Linked DNA regions of Ovis aries. The protein of the gene in region 3 interacts with the protein of the main gene of each other region in a biochemical or structural test. Links are inferred from orthologs where the notes say so. Each region holds a gene or a part of one and is shown on either strand. Other genes may lie near its edges.

What was found. The genes of interacting proteins can lie anywhere in the genome.
Region 1: the proteins of PLK1 (region 3) and KLHL22 form a complex in vitro, tested with the Homo sapiens proteins (2 studies listed by BioGRID, with this or other methods). The link is inferred for Ovis aries from reciprocal best matches to the Homo sapiens genes PLK1 and KLHL22.
Region 2: the proteins of PLK1 (region 3) and NEDD1 form a complex in vitro, tested with the Homo sapiens proteins (2 studies listed by BioGRID). The link is inferred for Ovis aries from reciprocal best matches to the Homo sapiens genes PLK1 and NEDD1.

Annotation. Positions count from the first base shown.
Region 1 is NC_056070.1:72,530,218-72,535,820, reverse strand, and holds the end of KLHL22 (kelch-like protein 22), read right to left. Parts: intron 4,300-5,603; coding exon 4,066-4,299; intron 3,691-4,065; exon of another isoform or gene 3,487-3,690; intron 2,170-3,486; coding exon 1,804-2,169; 3' UTR 1,398-1,803; downstream 1-1,397. UniProt on the Homo sapiens protein: Substrate-specific adapter of a BCR (BTB-CUL3-RBX1) E3 ubiquitin ligase complex required for chromosome alignment and localization of PLK1 at kinetochores.
Region 2 is NC_056056.1:166,689,459-166,695,631, reverse strand, and holds part of NEDD1 (protein NEDD1), read right to left. Parts: intron 4,027-6,173; coding exon 3,979-4,026; intron 2,812-3,978; coding exon 2,609-2,811; intron 1,561-2,608; coding exon 1,407-1,560; intron 471-1,406; coding exon 314-470; intron 1-313. UniProt on the Homo sapiens protein: Required for mitosis progression. Promotes the nucleation of microtubules from the spindle.
Region 3 is NC_056077.1:21,879,870-21,886,561, reverse strand, and holds the start of PLK1 (serine/threonine-protein kinase PLK1), read right to left. Parts: upstream 4,667-6,692; 5' UTR 4,560-4,666; coding exon 4,158-4,559; intron 3,496-4,157; coding exon 3,327-3,495; intron 1,948-3,326; coding exon 1,803-1,947; intron 851-1,802; coding exon 757-850; intron 1-756. UniProt on the Homo sapiens protein: Serine/threonine-protein kinase that performs several important functions throughout M phase of the cell cycle, including the regulation of centrosome maturation and spindle assembly, the removal of cohesins from chromosome arms, the inactivation of anaphase-promoting complex/cyclosome (APC/C) inhibitors, and the regulation of mitotic exit and cytokinesis.

The sequences.
Region 1 (5,603 bases), on a different chromosome or scaffold from region 3:
TCTAGAGGCGTCGCCCAGCTGGACTGGGTTCACGGACAGGAACCTCAGACTCCCATCACCTCCCCGCCCCCCTCCAGCCCCAGAGCTCCTTCGGGCCCCAGCTCTGTGACAGGCCCCTCAGGACTGTCTGAATGCAACTCTCTGCCCGGCCCTGGCCGTGTGCCACCTGTGTCTGCTGCCCGCAGGACAGGACCATCCCCAGCCTTGTCTCAGGCCCACCTCGTGCCTGATGGCGAGTTTCCCGGCCCCACCCACGCCCCCATCGGGAGCCTGGGTACAGGCGGAGTGGGGGGCCGTCTGTCTGCCTGGCCTGTGCCAGGTGGATACCAAAATGAGGGCGTGCCCACACGACTGGCCAGCACAGAGGCCAGTAGTGGAGGCCCAGAGCCTGGGCCTGGCGGGGGTGGCTCCCGGAGGAAGCCAACTTTGAAGGGAGAGAGTGGCCTGGAGGCTTGAGTGCAGCCGGAGAGCCTGCCCAGCTGGCAAGGGCTGCCTGGGCTCAGGGAGGAGGGGGCGGGCTGCTGGCTGTGGGCCAATGCTGCACTGGTCCACGGCAGGGCCCGGCTACGGCCCGGGTCTTAGGAACCCTTCCAGGCCCCACGTCTACCCCGCCCCATGCCCTGGGGTCCTCACAGACTCCTCTCCATCCCCTGCAGACCAGAGGCCTCTCGCAGCCAGGCCTTGGTGCCTGGCTGGGGAGTCAGCTGCGGCAGGCCTGTACACTCTGGGGCAGGACGGGCGTCTTGGCCCTTCTTCACAGAAACCTCCGAGGTCTGCAGGGTGGTGGCAGACACAGAAACAGGGGCCCCCACTCCGAGCTCATGGTCCCGCACCTCACCCTTGGGAGTCGGAGGATGACCCTGGACAAGTGGCCATCCTGTCCTGTGGGAAAGGACCACCAGGGTCAAGGCCGGGCTCGCTGCCTGGCCTGAAGTGTTAAGCGCGTGGTGTCATGTGGGGTGGGGCGTGGGGACAAAGGCAAAGACCCAGAGCGGTGGGGGTCTGCAGGAGGGGGTGAGAGGACCCCACAGGAGCGGACAGTGTCCTGGTGCAGGTTGGGCAGTGCGGAAAACGGCGTTGGAACCTGCAGGTCCCACCCACTCAGGAGGGTCCTTGAAGCTTACCTGGAGGAAATGCAGAGGCCCCTCCGCAGGACGTGCTCAGATGCAGGAGACAGGCGCCCCCTGAGGCTCTCACGCCCTCCCTCCCCAGGTGCTGAGCTTCCCTTGGCGCCAAGACGGCTACCGGAATCCTGGTTCACAGGAGAGGTCCACAGTGGGAGAGGCGCTCCAGCCGGGGTCCGCAGACAGGGACATGTGTCTTGGTGACACCCTCCAGCCGGGGGTGGGCTCCCCCCCAGAAGCCACTCAGCCCAGGCCAAAGGAGAGCAACGCGCCTCGCAGAAGGTGCTTTATTTCATTTATCAACAACACGGGGGCAGGAAGGCCCAGCTGCAAGGCCCTGTTATCACAACCAGCCTCAGGCCCCTGGCTGGCTCTCTGCTCCCACTTCCGTCTCAGGAGCTGCTGGGCTGGCGATGGGCTCAGCCCGGCTCCCCCGCGGGGGCCCGTCCCCAACCCCCTTGGGAGAAGGCGCCCTCTCAGCCCAACAGTGACTAAGGCGGAGAGTGGTGCCGGCGCCCAGCCACGCCTGCTGAGGAGGAGAGGCTTGGGGGCTGTCTGGAGACCGGGCCCTTCCCAGAGGGTTCCTGCCACAGGTCTGCGAGCCCCCAAAACACCTGCCTACCTGCCGACGGGCAGGGTGGGGGACACCTGGGATCTCCCACTCCCCCGCCCCGGGAACCTAGTCCTCGCTGGAGTTGTCGAACTCCTCCCAGTCAGACACACTCATCACCTCGGAGGCGAAGTCCGGGTCGGCCTGGCTGCGGTCAGGGGTCCCCCGGGGCGGCTCGAGCAGCAGGGACCGCGGCAGGGTGAGCACACAGGCGGCCAGGCCCGAGATGGAGTTGTCCAGCGGCGGCCCCTCCTCCCAGCTGTCCTTGCCCGCGTCGTAGATGTGCACGTAGCCCGTGCGGCTGCCTCGGTTGTGTGAGCGGCCGCCCAGCACGTAGATCCTGCTGTCGAGCACAGCAATGCCCGGTTCCCCGTGCCCGGCCGGGAGCGGGCAGACGGACGACCACTGCCCGGATCTGCAGCTGTAGCAGGCCACCTGCAGGGCAAGGTGCGGGCTCTCAGGGGCTGGGGGCCCCCAGGGAGGGCTCTGACCGGCTGCTGCCCTGCGCCACCTCCCCAGCCCCTCAGCCGGCCGGTGGCCCCAGGCCCGTGGCTGTCTCCCCTTTGGCCTGGGGGTGCTGGCTCACTCCCCTCCACCGCTGAAGCCGAAACTCAGAAGCCAAGCGCACGGAGCACCGGGCAAGATGCAGATAAAATGGAGAGACAGGCTTGCTGAGTCGTGATGACTGTCAACATTCTCTTGGGAAGTACCCAGCGGCCCAGTGGTGAGGACTCGCACTTTCCCCGCTGGGGCCCCAGGTTCAATCCCTGGTCAGGGAACTAAGATCCCACAAGACATGTAGTGTGGCCAAAATAGAGAAAAAAAATCATCTTGCCTTCAAAGCTACCCCAAATAGTAAACGTGGGAACCAGGGGAAATGTTCAACCTACTAGTAATCCAAGAATTGCAAAACAGAACCTCAGGGACAAATCGTCAGCTGTTAACGAGCGGGCACTGGGGGAGAAAAGGCACCGGCCAGGCGCCCATCTGACCAGTCAGGGCGGCAACGTGCAGAGCTGCACAGAGCCACGTGGACGCCAGCCCTGCCTCTCCCACTGCGAGGAGGCCTGGCCACCAGGGCCGGCCTCTGCGGGCGGTAAGCGCAGGGACGTGGACACGGGCGGACGGGCGACCCTGGATCTTCGGGGACGCCTAACTGCACAGCCCTTGGAAGCAGCAGGGGACGTGTGAAGGCCCAAGATGGGAGGGGAGCTGCCGGCTTGGAAGGGGAAGGGGCCCGAGCGGCCGGCCCACAGGCTTCCAGAAGCCAATAAGGGCTTCAGCTCACAGCGGTGAGGAGCAGGACCCGGCCCCACCGAGGGGGCTGCGCTCTGCTGACACCCCGGGTGAAAGGACGCCAACCCTCCCGGGGCTCCGCTGAGGACGCACCCTGGACTGTCAAGTGAGAGCCACAGGCTGCCAGCACAGGCGCCCGCGGGTTTAGGCCCCGCACCGGGGGCGGTCTGTCCCAGCTGCCGCAGGAACTGAGACGCTGGGGCCTAGCGGCTCTGAGCGCTGGGGGCCCCGTCTGGGGACACCCAGCCAGGCGAGCTGAGGGCCAGGGAGGGTCCCATCTGGGGAGACCCAGCCAGGCGGGCTGAGGGCCAGGGAACCTGCATTCCTGGTGAGTTCTCTCCTGATGTGGGTACTGCTGGCCCAGGAGCCACATTTCAAGGACCGCAGCTCTCGCCTCAGGAGATGACCCAAGATACCCAAACAGCTCCACGGAGCAAACGCTGCTTCAAATGTTACCTGAAACGGCCACAACTTGACCAGCCCCAACGTCAGCGGTCTGATGAACTCTGCACAGCCACTGGGTGGCGTGGGGCGGCCCTCAAACGAGAGGACACACCCACGGAGCCGGGGCAGGTGGGCGGGCGTTCAGGAGGGCTAACACTCCAGGCTGGGGGCCAGATTTCAGGAATTCTTGTCCCCTTTCTCCATTTTCCCAGAGTTCTGCAATGTGGTTAGACTAACTTTATAATTAAAGCTTTTAAGAATAGTGCAGGCAGGTGACACCTCTCTGTGACACCCTAGTGGTGGACACGTGCCATCTGTCTCAACCCCGACTGTGCACCCCCAGGAGTGACCCCAGGCCAGCCGAGTTATCAGCTGTAAGGACGCCACCCTGAGGTGCGGGTGCCAAGTGTGGGGAGGCGGTGGGCGCGGGGGCGACGGGAAGCCTCGCTGCTCTGTTCGGCTTGGCTGCGAAGCTGAAGCCGCCCTAGGAAACGCAGCCTAGTAACCAGAAACGCGCCCGTGTCCCCCCTGCAGCCCGCCTGCTGCGTGGCCGGCTCCTCACTGACACCCGCGGGAGGCGGCCCCGCTCACCTGGTGCACGTCTCTGCGGTAGCCCGCGTCGTTGTTGCTGCCCCCGATCACGTACAGCTTGTCCAGCAGCGTGGCCATGCCGTGCCAGGCCCGCCGCACCGGGCCGTCGGCCAGCGCGTGCCAGGTGTCGCTGCCCGGCTCGTAGCAGTGGGTCTCCTTCAGGTAGTCCTCCCCGCGGCGGCCGCAGGTGACGTACATCTTCCCGTCCAGCGCTGCGCCCGCGTGGGCGTAGACCTGCGGCGGGGCACCGGCGTGAGCGCCAGGAGGCCAGGGGCCGCGCGACCCCCGCTCCTCCCTGGACGCCCCGTCCCGCCCCCCACCTTCCCCACGGAAGAGGATTCCAGGGCCCAGAGGCGATGCTGCGCTTCCCCGAGGGGAGCCGCAACCCCTCTTTCCGCACCACCCCCCCAAGCAATGTGCACCGGACCCAGAGGAAACCATCACAGCCCCATCTTCACAGAGGCCTCCTGACCCCCATGCCCGCCAACCCTCCAGGCCTGTTATCAGCTCCTTTTTCTGCTCCGATATGATCCTGCGATTTTAAATATGGTGAATCACACTGGTTAAATTTCGAGTACGGAACCAGCCTTTGTAATCGACTCTATTTGGTCATGAATTTCTTTTGGAGGGAGAGGGGAATTTGCTAATATGTAGTCACGAACATTCACATGTAACTGTAGGTATGGCAGACTTGCTCTATTTTGGGGGGAGAGGCTGCTGTCTTGTATGGTTTTGGTATCAATTTAATGATAACTTCCTAAGGTGAAATGAGAAGTATTCTCCCTCTTCCACTTCCTGGAAAAAAAGAATCGGTATTTTCTTTAAAAGTTCGGTAAATTCTCCAGTTAAACTATCTGGGCCTGGACGTCATTTCCGTAAAAGGTACAGGGCCATTCAAATCATCTGCTTAGTTTTCTGGGTGTCCTAGCACGATGTTTCGGAGGAACTGGTGTGTTTCACCGCCTACTGACAGGGCGTTAGTAATGCAGCCCCTCCCGCAGCCGTTCTTGACACTTTTAGGAAGCTGTTTTCGCTCCCTTCCTCAGGCTTCCTAGACGCCTGTCCCTGGCATTGACCTGTGCAGACCCAGCCTCTCAGAGTCTCCTCTAACAGCCCTCCTTCCGCTCTGGTGCCTACCCCTTCCCTCCTCTGCTTGCTTTGGGCTCGCTCTGCTCTCACTTTTCCAGATTCTTGAGGGATGAGCTCAGATCACTCAGTTGAGACTTTTTCCCTCCCTAATGAACGCTTTCAGTGCCGCAAATGCCCCTCAGCACAGCTTCAGCGGGCACGCCACAAAACTTGACAAGCTATCTTTTCATTCTCACTCGGATCAAGGTCCCAGGTCCCTTGCTGGGTTGTCATCTTATCTCAACCTTTTAAGTTTTCCAAGTTTTACACACACATCCAGAGTTCCAGGTAGTGCTGAGCAGGAGGAAGTGGGAAGGACCCTGAGACAGGTGGGAGTGTGGGCCCGCCCTGCGGGAATCCTGAAGGCCCCTATAGGGGCTGTACGCCCACGTCTGCAGACCCGCGGACCC
Region 2 (6,173 bases), on a different chromosome or scaffold from region 3:
ATACTGTAGGAATCCCATTTGAGCCCATCAGAATCTGCCCACATTTTAATGATAAAAAAATCCACAGTGGCAGCCAGCCGCCACACTGTCAAGTCCTCTGATAACTGCCCCAGGGAAACGTGCCTTTCCTTGGCTGGTATAAAATAAACTCGGCACTTAAAGATTCACAAAACCCATCGTGTCTTCTACATTTTTACACATCCCAGAACCTACGCAAAAGTAGTCACCACCACCATTACTCACAGGTACGGTTTTACACCTAACAAAAATAAGCTAGTCAAAGTCTACACAGAAAGAGTAATTTCCCAATTACCTAAAGTCATCCAGGGTTTCCTGTATCATGTTCTGAATAAAACGGATCTGAACAGATGACAACGGTGCATTTGGCCGACTATTTCCAATGGTATCAACGATTTTTTCTGATAGTGAACTAGCAACTCCAGCAGTGACAGAGGATGCTATCTTCGGATCTGAAATAAAAATTTGAGAAAATATTAATAGTGAGCTTGGACTAAGAGACATCAAATACTTCTAAATATGATTCAGCATGAGAAAGCCTGAAAAACTGGCAACCTCCCCTCCTCACCAAAAAAACAAAAAAACAAAAACAGTCCTCCTATGACATTTAGAAAAATTCACTGTCTGGAATACAAGTCTTAGAAACTTTCTATGACATTATTTCTAGTAGTCATTCATATATATATATATATATATATATATATATATATATATAAAAATTGCCAACTGTCTAATGTAATAACATCTGACAGAGGAATTAAGTCTTAAAGGATCTCTGAACCATTTTCTCTTACAAAAAATGAATGTGACCAGCTGCTGGATAAACCAAGACTATTAGAAACAAACAGAAGGAACATAGGAGTAAAGTAGTTCTGAGGCAAAGCCCTAGAGTTTAAGCTAATGCAATATATCCACAGAAACCTCAAAATACAGATATCTAGATAAAAGAGCTCCTTCTATACAAAGAGTTCTTTTGTATAGATAACTCCTATTGCTAAACCTAATATTGCTTTAAATGTGACCAAGTTTTTAAGGTCTCTGCCATGAACTCTATACAGACAGAACTTTAATATGGAAAAAGAAAAAGACATTTTCAGGTAGTTAATGACCCTATATTATATTCCTATCTGTACCACAGTAGACAAGACACTTACATATTGGATTGAAAGTGAAATTCATACCCAAAGAATACCAAGTTAATGTGGCTGAATTTAACCTTTCGTTTTACTGTCTTCTAGTAAGAGAGTCACACACTAGAGAAGTGTCACAAATTTTAAATTCCTTTAACTTTTTCATCTGTGATCACTGACTGTCAACTTATCCTTTACAAGTTAAATAATGGGAGTTTTCAACTTAACACTTAAACATCAGAAGTTTTATGTTCTTACTTGGAGTTGAGGATCCATTGCCTGGAGGTTCATTTATTAACTGGGCTTCAATTTCTTTTTCTGGCTTTTCAAATTTCTCAGGGCTTCTTGTTTGGTTAGATGATGGAGAGGCATTTAGATTTCCAGTTTCAGCACCGGAGATCAACTTTGCAAACTTCACATTTAAAATAAATAATTAATATATAAATTCTGGTTTTATCCAAAGGACCTACTGTAAAGCACACGGAACTCTGTTCAATGTTATGTGGCAGCCTGGATGGGAGGGGAGTTTGGGGGAGAATGGATACACGTATATGTACAGCTGAATCCCTTTGCTGTTCACCTAAAACTATCACAACATTGTTAATTGGCTATACCCCAATACAAAAGTTAAAAAAATTCTGGTTTTATCCATATTACCCATATAATTTGTATCTACTTTTCTCTATTTTTCCCCAGTAAATAGGGTCAGAAAAAGGAAGAATAGAAAGGAATCTTGAAGGAGAAAAGAAAATGTTGCTAGCACCATGACAAAATAACTAACTTTACTGGTCAAAAACAATTTTGATGATTTTGATGATGACAAGGAAAAGCTTATTTACTAAGAATCCGCTGTTGAATATCATTTAAGATGGCAATCACAGGCCAAAAAATAAATAAAAAATAAATCCCCAGACTCTCATGGGATAACTAGTCAGGAATATTTGAAAAGTCAGTCAAAAGATTTTCATATTTCTTAAGTTTCTCCTCAATACCATTCTAAAAGATAAATATGAAAACAGACATACTAAACAACAGACCCTACTAGATTACAGCAGAAGGTAATGATGATGAGTCACATTCTCAGCACCATCGACTTGCTTTAAGACTTAGGGTAAAAGCACCAACTTGGTGCTTTGTGCTGCAATGGAAATACATTCTAAGAGAATTCAGGGATAAAATATTCTTACAGTTAAATCAAGTATCTTGTCTTAGGGAAAAAACAGTGTAAGATTATACCTGCTGTTACCTCCAACATATCCAAAGACAGATTTCAAAAGTGTTCTTCAGTTTTTAACATGTGACATCAAGATTTAAGAATATTTTCCACCTAGTAAGTGCACAGCACTGTCAATAATTAGGGTATATCCAGTGGCAGCTGCCTGCTTTCTAGTGATGAGATGCATTATACTTGCTAGTAATAAACACACGCAGTGAGTTCAATATCATTTACAGGCAGATACCTGCTTGAAGGAGTCTTTAGATTCCTGTTTTCCCAGATACATTTTCTTAGATTCAGCTGTCAGATCATGATTTTCATTTTCTTCTTTCCCAGGAGACCCCATAAAGACATTAAGAGGACTAGAATGCAATACTGAAGTGCTTGAAACTACTGGATTTTTTCTTGGAGGAAACACTGAGTTCAACTGTGGTAGAAAGTCAAGGCCTGAAAAAGAAAAGAAAAAAGCCAGCACTTACATGGACTGTCCCCAGTCTCGGATATTTAAGAAAAGCACTTAACATAATAGATATGTTAATACAGTAGGAAGACATGGGATCTGGATTCAAAAGACAAGCTCACTTGTCAGCTCTATCCCTTACTTCATTTGAGTTTTTGGGGTAAAAGTTGTAAAACTCTTTGTGACTGTTTAGGTGATCTGTAAGTATGAATGATGATATCCACTGCCCTAAATGATGAGGTATAAAAGAGATACTGTATGTGAAGATATGCTGAAAACAGCAAAGCATGATGACTGTTTTAGTCAATAAAATTTTTTGATAAAACTGTCAATTTGGTATGTATCTGAGGTGGATCTTGGTAGACAGCCTCTAAGATGGCTCCTCAAGATCCCTGCCTCCTCCCAAGGATCGACAGCCTCATATAAATACCTCCCTTAGAATGTGGGTTGGACCTAGGAACTTGCTTCTAACAAAGAGCATATAGCAGAAGTGGTGGATTTCACTTCCAAGATTAAGTTACAAACACACTGTGGCTTCCATCTTTTAAAAAATATTTATTTACTTTGGGCTGTGCTGGGTCTTCATTACTGCACATGTGCTTCTCACCGCAGTGGCTTTTCGTGCTGAGGCATTCAGACAGGCCTTAAGGCATGGGCTTCAGTAGCTGTGGTACACAGGCTTAGATGCTCCATGGTCTGTGCAATCTTCTTGGACCAGGGATCAAACCTTTGTCCCCTGCTTTGGCAGGCAGATTCTTAACCACTGGACCACTAGGGAAGTCCTTAGCTTCCATCCTGAGTGCCCTCTCCATCTCACACCAGCTCTGAGTGAAGTCAGCTGCTCTGCTGTCAGCTGCCCACATGAGTAAGGACTGATATCTTTAGCCAACAGCCACATGAATGAATTTGGAAGCAGATCCTTGCCCAGTCATACCCTGAGATGACTGCAGTCCTGTTGACACCCTAGTTAAAGCATCATGAGATACCTGATGCCAAAGGCATCCAGCTAAGCCATGCTTGGATTCTTAATCCACAATTATGACATGATAAATATTCTTTTAAGCTTCAAAATGTTAAGGTAATTTGTTACACAGAAGTAGATAACACAAAATCACTTTTAACGTTGATAAAAAATACTTCTCAACGGTTCTTACCATCTCCTTTGCCTATGGACTCATCCACTCCTTTGTTAACTACAGCATCTATAATAAAATTGGAAAATAAAATTTAAAAAATAATGCAAAAGAAGCCGCAGCAATTTAGGTTTCCTATCCATTCCCAAAAGAGTTCAGAAACTAATGATTTTATGAAGAAAAATCGAAATGAAGATAAAGCTAGTACTCCTAAGAATTCTCTTTTCATTCTTTTACCTTCATGCATAGTAGCAAATATGAAAAGATAATTCTATGATATAGAGTCATTTAATGAGACAACAAAGTATACTACAAAAAGCACTGGAGAAGGCTCCAAAGACCTGTGATCCAGGTCTGCCTATACCACTTAACAGCTTTGTGACCTTGGACAAGACTTTAATTATGCTTCAGTTTCTACACCTATATAATGGGGACAATGCCCCAACCACCTCAGAAATTGTTTTAAGGATCAACTGAAATAATGTAAAAATATTTTGCAAAAAATACAATGTTAATTAAAAATATAAGGTTTTATCAGTATCTTTTCAATGACAGAATATGTTTAAGAATATTTCAATACTGTAATATTATTCATTTATCAAATAACAACCAAAAACTGCTTATCTCAATTTTAATAGATTAACATAAAAATGGGAAAAGGTCATTTAAAAATTCCCCAGAAATTCAAATGGCCAATGAATTGTCACACATGATTACAAGTAGGACTTGCATCCATATCTCCATTCATTCATATCTCTGTCTGCATGTGTATATTACATCTAGTAATCATACAACACACATTTTTAGAAGTTACTCATTTTTTCCTAACAAAAGCAAAAGTATTATTTAAAAGATGAAGAAATTGAGGAAAAAAGATTAAGCCTTTTACCTAAGTAGTATTGACTCTAAGAGATTAATATTCAAACCTCTTGACAGTGAAAACCAGTACTATTTTTAGTATCCACATTTTTTCTTATTAATATCAAACTCTAATAAATGGAAGGGCGTATGGCTCAAATTTTAATCATATCTTCTTTAAACAGCAAAAGCAATTAAAAGGGAGTTTATATCCTTTACTTTACCATCAAACACCATTAAAGGAGATTTTATTTATAACTCAAACACTTCCAAAAAGCCCTTTCAATTAAAATATTAAATTTAAATTAAAAACTACTCGAGTGACTCTCATAAACAAAGCTCCCCAGTTGGGTACTAAACTCCAAAACCTTTCTGATCTCCAGCCCAAGCCACTTCTACCTGCTTTGCCCATATCTTTTCTCTCCTTACCCCTCAACTATGTAGTATGACCTCTCTTCATTCTGAAAGAAAGGAATTGTTCCTCTTTTATTAGATAGAAGTAGGAATTTGGGAAATTTAAGGATTTATTTTCAAGCCAGGGTAAGGTAGAAGACACTCAATAATCCTGTACCACTACATATATATTTATCCTTTCCACTTATGAAATTAGTTGAAGAAAACACTGAAAAATAATTTTAAAGTAAAAAGTTAAATTTTATAAGATCATGAGTTCAGTTCAGTTTAGTCGCTCAGTCGTGTCCAACTCTGTGCAACCCCATGAACTGCAGCACGCCAGGCCTCCCTGTCCATCACCAACTCCCGGAGTTCACTCAAACTCATGTCCATAGAGTCGGTGATGCCATCCAACCATCTCATCTTCTGTCGTCCCCTTTTCCTCCTGCCCCCAATCCCTCCCAGCATCAAAGTCTTTTCCAATGAGTCAATTCTTCGCATGAAGTGGCCAAAGTACTGGAATTTCAGCTTCAGCATCATTCCTTCCAATGAACACTGAGGACTGATCTCTTTTAGGATGGACTGCTTAGCTCTCCTCGCAGTCCAAGGGACTCTCAAGAGTCTTCTCCAAAACCACAGTTCAAAAGCATCAATTCTTCAGTGCTCAGCTTTCTTCACAGTCCAACTCACATCCATACATGACCACTGGAAAAACCATAGCCTTGCACTAGATGGACCTTTGTTGGCAAAGTAATGTCTCTGCTTTTCAATATGCTATCTAGGTTGGTCATAACCTTCCTTCCAAGGAGTAAGCGTCTTTTAATTTCATGGCTGCAATCACCATCTTCAGTGATTTTGGAACCCCCCAAAATAAAGTCTGACACTGTTTCCACTGTTTCCCCATCTATCTCCCATGAAGTGATGGGACCAGATGCCATGATCTTCGTTTTCTGAATGTTGAGCTT
Region 3 (6,692 bases):
ATAGGCACAGAGAAGTCAAGTGCCTAAGATACATCCCGAGTGAGTGGTGGAGCCAGCACCCACACCGAGGCAGTCAGGTGCAACCCCCACACTGGGAACCGCTCTACTCGGCCCAATAATTGACCCTCTGTAACGGATTCAGCCCATCCATCCTGATGGAGACAGGGCTCTTGGCTTCACATAAGACAAAGATGCCAAACTGTGGAAGCAGCTGTGTGCCAGACTGCTGCCAACTATCCCTCTCAATGCACTCTTGCTGGGGGCTGCAAAAGCACGCCACTTCGCCTTCACGGTGGTTCGAGATTCTGTGAGCGCTCGCTGTGTGCAAGATGCTCTGGGGCAGGGACTCCACTTTACAGATGGGAAACTGCAGCTCAGAAGACTCAGGCCATTTGTCCATTGTGATCTGGCTAAAAAGTGGCAGAGCCCATCTGAACCAAGACAGTCCACAGCCAGGCTAAGCAGCACTTCTCCGTCTGCCCCTACTCTGGCTCTTTCTCTCTGTTTTTCACGTCTTTTGGGTTATCTCCCCAACGGATGAAAGCCTGCAAACTCTCATCCCAAGAAAAACTGTTTCTGTACACATACATCAGCCTCTGTATGCAATTTCAGACAGGACCCTCTAAAGCTGTTACACTTACCCATGGGGTGGCACTGACCCATCTCTTTCCCCCGGAAATGGCTGGGCTCTGTAAATCACTTGGTGGGGGAGGGAATTAAATAAAACAAATGTAAACTTAAAGTGGTTTTAGTCACCTTGGGAATACTGTATTCATTGTTCTTGATCCGGAGGTAGGTCTCTTTTAGGCAAGAGGTCTCAAAAGGTGGCTTGCCCACTAACAAGGTATACCTGTAAGCACAAGGAGGGATTTGGCTCAAGGCTCCCAACCAAAACCCAGATGCAGGGAGGAATCCTCTCAGGGCCAGAAAGGAAGTCAGACATCTTTTGGGCATTCACTGTGACTCTGGGGCCCCAGAGGACAATTCACAAGTTCACTAAGCAGCCCCAGGAGCCACGACACTGGCAGGGAGGTACCCTCAGTAGAATACAGGTGATGAAACTGGGTTCTAATGGACCAGTGACTTTTTAGCTATAGCCTGCGGTAATCTAGGGGCCAGAGGCTGCCAGCTAACATGGAACAGGTCCAAGCAGGGGTCACTTTCCTTGAGGCAGCCCCACAGTTAATAGTTCTGTACTTTAGGCTGCAAGTTTTCATGTGGGAAATTCCAAGGCAAAGAAGTAGGAAAGCCATTTCTAACTCTCCAGTATCCAGGGAAACAACAAAAGGGGTAACACCTGAACAGGCCCAACTCTCTGCCCACCACCCACCTCTGATGGCCTTGACCCAGACAGACCACAGGACCTCCTCCTGCCAGCACCACTCCTGGCCTAATTCTTCCCACCCAATGCTGCTTTTTAGATCAGTGGTTCTAATACTTTATTGTGCATAGAAATCACTCAAGGGTCTTAATACAGATTGTGATCCAGTTAGTCTGGGTCTTGAGATTCTGCGTAACAAGTTCCTACGTGATGCTGCAGCTGGTCTGCCGTACTTTGAATAGCAAGGGATTAGAGCAAGTTTGTGGAGACATTCCCTCCCTCATTCCCTGAACCCACAGCCCAGGCTGCAGGAATCCTACAGGATATACCAATTCAGCAATGAGGGTTCCTTCAGAGACCATCTGTCCTCTGGAACAGTCTTTCCAAAGGCGGAAAGGTCTGCAGGATAAAGCCTGCCAAGTGAGATGTCCAGAAAGCCCCTTGCTGAGACTGGTGGGTCCTGAGACAACTCCCAACTTACATGATGCACCCAATGGACCATACGTCCACCTCGAAACTGTGCCCTTTCTTGCTCAGCACCTCAGGAGCTATGTAATTAGGAGTCCCGCACAGGGTCTTCTTCCGTTCCCCGTCATACTCCACTTTGGTTGCCAGTCCAAAATCCCCTGGGACAGAGGGAGGAAGAGGGAGGCTCAGATGCCAGCTTCTGTCGTCTGTCAATGCAGACAGCTGGTTCAGCTGGTAACCATCAAGAACCAGGGTCAAGTGATCTCTCAAAGCCTCTAGTCCTTGTGTACAGCAAGGACTAGATTCCTGTTACCCAGGAATCCTCCCACCATGCTGGCCCTAGGGAAGGGCCTCCCAAAGACTCTCATCACCCCTCCCCTTAGAAAGGAGGGGTTTACTTCTAAAAGGGAACTGACAGGGATCTGCTAAGTCGCTTCAGTCATGTCTGACTCCATGTGACCCCACAGACAGCAGCCCACTAGGCTCCTCCGTCCCTGGGATTCTCCAGGCAAGAATACTGCAGTGGGTTGCCATTTCCTTCTCCAACACATGAAAGTGAAAGTGAAGTCGCTCAGTCGTGTCCGACTCTTCGTGATCCATGGACTGCAGCCTACCAGGCTCCTCCATCCACGGGATTTTCCAGGCAAGAGTACTGGAGTGGGGTGCCATTGCCTTCTCCGACTGACAGGGATAGCAAAACTCAAACACCTTCAGGGATTAAGCAAGTAAATGTCAAGATGGCTACTTGGCAAGTTTGTGAGGAAGTGATACGGAGGGGTGGGGAATGTGGCAAACCATAGGGCATCTAAAGGGAACAGCTGCTGTTCAGTACAGCAAAGAGCTGTCTTGAGGGAACGCTACCCCTGTACTGCTGGAGCTCTCGAGTGTTTAAAAGGAGCTCCAAATTCAAAGTTTTACATCAAGGCTCTCAGTTTAAAAAAGTGAAAATGAGGAGCGGCTTCCGTGATGGCTCAGTGGTAAAGAATTCACCTGCCAATGCTGGAGAAACAGGTTCCATTCCTGGTCGGTGAGGATCCCATGTGCCACAGAGCACCTAAGCCCATGTGCCACAACTACTGAACCTGTGCTCTAGAGCGCTGGAGCCACAACTGCTGAAGCCTGCGCTCCACAAGGAGAAGCCACTGCAATGAGAAATCCGCACATGCGACGCAGAGTAGCCCCCACTCACCGCACCAGAGAAAGGCATGCAGCAGCGGAGACCCAGTGCAGCCGAAATAAGTAAATTGAAAAAATATTTTTAAAAAGTGAAAACAAATCCAAATTCTTAAAAAAAAAAAACAAACTGTATAGAACACACTGCCCCCCTCAAAGCACATCTGCAGACAAGACACTGGTTTGTAGCTCTTTAAGTTCCTGTCCTAAGAGAGGATTCTACAGCCAATCAACAGCCCAGACTTCCTACCATCCTCTTCCTCTCTCCCTTGTCTCTTTCCAAATTTCCTCTCCCTCACCCTCCCTCCCAGCTCCTCCTCATTCCCACTGCATGTCAAATGCCCTTGCAGTCCCAGCTCCTTACCTATTTTCACCTCCAGATCCTCGTTCAGGAAGAGATTGCCCAGCTTGAGGTCTCTGTGAATAACGCGGTTTCCGTGCAGGTACTGGCAGCCCAGGACGATCTGCCGCAGGTAGTAGCGGGCCTCGGGCTCCGTGAGAGCTTTCCTCCGCTTGTGCAGCTCCAGGAGAGACTGGGAGCAGGAGGGAAGGAGAAATGGGAGCCGGTGCTCAGACCCAAGGCAGGGAGGGAGTGTCATTAGGTAAAGGCAGCCAGGACGCTACTAACCATTTCTTCAGGACAACTGCGATCCAGACTCCCCCCCCCCCCAAAACCAGGCCGCAACAGTTCATAGCAACCCTCTCCCACTGGCTCCCTCCCAAAACCCTTACCTGGGACCCCTCTCTCAGACCCCTCCGGAAGCTCAGAGACCCCAGTATCCCGGTCCCGGAACTCTTGGCAGCAACAGGTCCCTTTCCTGCCCCTCCCCTCCCCCGGAAGCTCCGAAGTCTGGCTCCAACTACCCTCTGCCTGACCCAACCCTACTCGGGAAAGTGAGGGTCCGCAATATCCCTTACCTAGCAACTCCAAAGCCCTGGCGTCCATAAGCAAGGTTCTCCCGCACCTCCCCCAATCCGCCCAACTCCTAGCGTTCAGAAGCCGCCTTCCCTAGAGGCCCCAAGTGCCGAGAACCTTCCCTCTCCCCAAGACTTTCTCCATTTCCAGTTCCAGGTTCCCAGCACCTCTTCCCTAGCAGCTCTGAGCCCCGGGGCGCCCCTTCCCCAGCAGCTCCGGTTCCCAGTGCCCCAACCCCTGACGCCAGGGCAGTTCCAGTTCCCCAGCAGCGACACTCACCCTCCGGCGGCAGAGCTCCAACACCACGAACACGAAGTCGTTGTCTTCGAAAAAGCCGTGGAAGCCTACGACGTGCTGGTGAGCGAGGCTGCGGTGAATGGATATCTCCATGGACATCTTCTCCTTTTGGTGCGGTTTGAGCAACAGCGACTTAGGCACGATCTTGCCCGCGAACACCTCCTTAGTGTCCGCATCCGAGATCTCAAAGCACTTGGCAAAGCCACCCTTCCCCAAAAAGCGACCCCGTAGATAGCGCCGCCGGCTGCGAGGGTCCACTAGGACCTCCGGAATCTCTTTCGCCGGCGGGGCGGCCGTCGGAGCCCCGGGAGCTGCAACTCCGGGCGCTTTCCCTGGGTCGGCTGGTGCCCGCCCCAGCTTCCCTGCAGTTGCCGCCGCACTCATGTTCCCGGAGTTGCTCAGCGGACCTAGCAGGGTCTAGGCAGAGGCTTGGCACGGCTCTGCCTCTCCTCGAATTCAAACGCGGCGCCGGGAACGTTACAAGAGCCTACGCGCTACTGATTGGCCGCGGGGATTTAAAATCCAAACCCGCCCGCCGCGCGGCACTCTGGGAGCGCTCGGCACTGCAGCCGCCTTTAAACTCTCACCCAGGCCCTGGGAGGAGCTTGATTGGCAGGGATGGCGGACGGAAGACACGTGGGATGCCTGGGAAACCAAAGCTGGTGTGGGGCTGCTGAGACCCCGCCCCAGAAGAGGGTGCGTTCAGGGTTTCTCCTTTCTCGACGGCAGGGGAAGCTCCTGCAGTCCGCGAGGACCTCCTCCAGGAAGCTTTTCCCAGCACCTTCCTCCATCCCCACCTCGCCTTCTAGATTATAAACTCTGAGAATAGAGACCTAGAATGAGAGACAGCATGGGGGAGCCCTAACATCCGCCCCGGAAGTCACCAGCTCTCTTCCAAATCACCCCATAAACTAAAATCGAAGTCTAAAGAGAATGCTTGCCAGGCAAACGCATCTTCCAGACAAACCCCCTACTCTTCTTCAAATAACAGCAGGGGCCACCAACATCACCAACACCTGGGAGCTTGTTAGAAAGCCAAAGCTTCAGGCCTCAACGCAGACCCCCCCAATTCAGAATCTACCCAGTGATTCCCACACATATTGAAGTTTGAGAAGTACAGTACCAGAACCCCACCACCCCCGCCAGGGTCATTCTGCAAGAAAATTGTCTGGCTGGCTCACTGCTCTATTTCCCAGTGCCTAAAATAGTGGACCCTCAAGTGTTTTGTAAGAGGGAAAGATGACAGGTTGGCAGAATGCCTGGCAAACTGGTAAGCCAAGGTCAAATTTGGCTGCAGAGGTGTTTTGTTTGGTCTTTCACTTTTTAAAATTTGGATTCATATACAGGAGTGAAAAATCAAGACAGCTCACATAAAAATGCAACTTTGAAAAAACTATTAGCTGTTGCAACTCTATGCTTACTTAACATACCTTCCCAGTTTGTCAGAGTTCCCTGATAACCCTCCTTTGCCCCTTTGCCTGTCTGGCTTCCATAGATACTTAAGTGGCAACCCTGAGAATCACTCAAGTTGTAAGCCCAGCATCCTATGATGTCTTTGCTAGGAGTCAGCAAAAGTCATATCAGTTATCTCTTTACATAACTCCCAATAAACTCAGAGGCAATGAAGACATCTTTCCTACCCCATGTCCCAAGCTCTCAGCACAATGCTTGGCAAAAAGGAGTGACTAAAATGCTTTATAAATAAAAGGGAGTTGTTTTTAAAAATTATTATTTTTTAATCCCTGTGGTGTACAATATTGTTTTATCTTTTTATAAAGTTGAATCTATGTACCGAAAAAGTATACATCTGTTAATTGGACAGCTCAGTGAATTTTCACAAAATGAGTACACCTCATGTAAGCAGCACCCAGACTGAGAAAGAGTACACGACCAACCACCCCGTAAGTCCTCCTTGTGCCCTGGGGCGGGGGGGGGGGGGCCCAAGACCATCCCCCTACAGGACTCAGCATATAGTTCTACTCACAGATGACTAGGATTTATTACAGTGAAAGGTTATGAAGCAAAATCAGCCAAGGGAAAGGTGCATAGAGCAAAATCCAGAGGAAACCAGGCACAAGCTTCCCAGAGTCTTCTCCCAGTGGAGTCAGTCACACAGGACACAACTCCTCCAGCAATGAGTGTGACAACACGTGTGAAATGTTATCTACCAGAGAAGCTCATCAGAGACTCCAGCCCAGGGCTTTTCTGGGGTTTGGTCACACAGGCACCCTCTGCCTGTAACACACCAAAATTCTACACTCCTGGAAGGAAAGCAGGCATGCAGCATAAACCACAGTTTACACAGTTTAAATTCAGTAAGCAACTCCTGTCATTTAGGGAATGGTGAGAACTCTCCTGAAATTCAAGAACCCAGATGCCAGCTGAGGGTCAATCTTCCAGCTGACGGCACTGGGAGCTTTCCTTCAGGAAAAGGGGAAAGTTTCCAGAATATTTCTGAGAAATGAAGATCATAAATGCTCTCCCCGCCCCCAAAGCTCCCTGGGTGCCAGGCTTTTG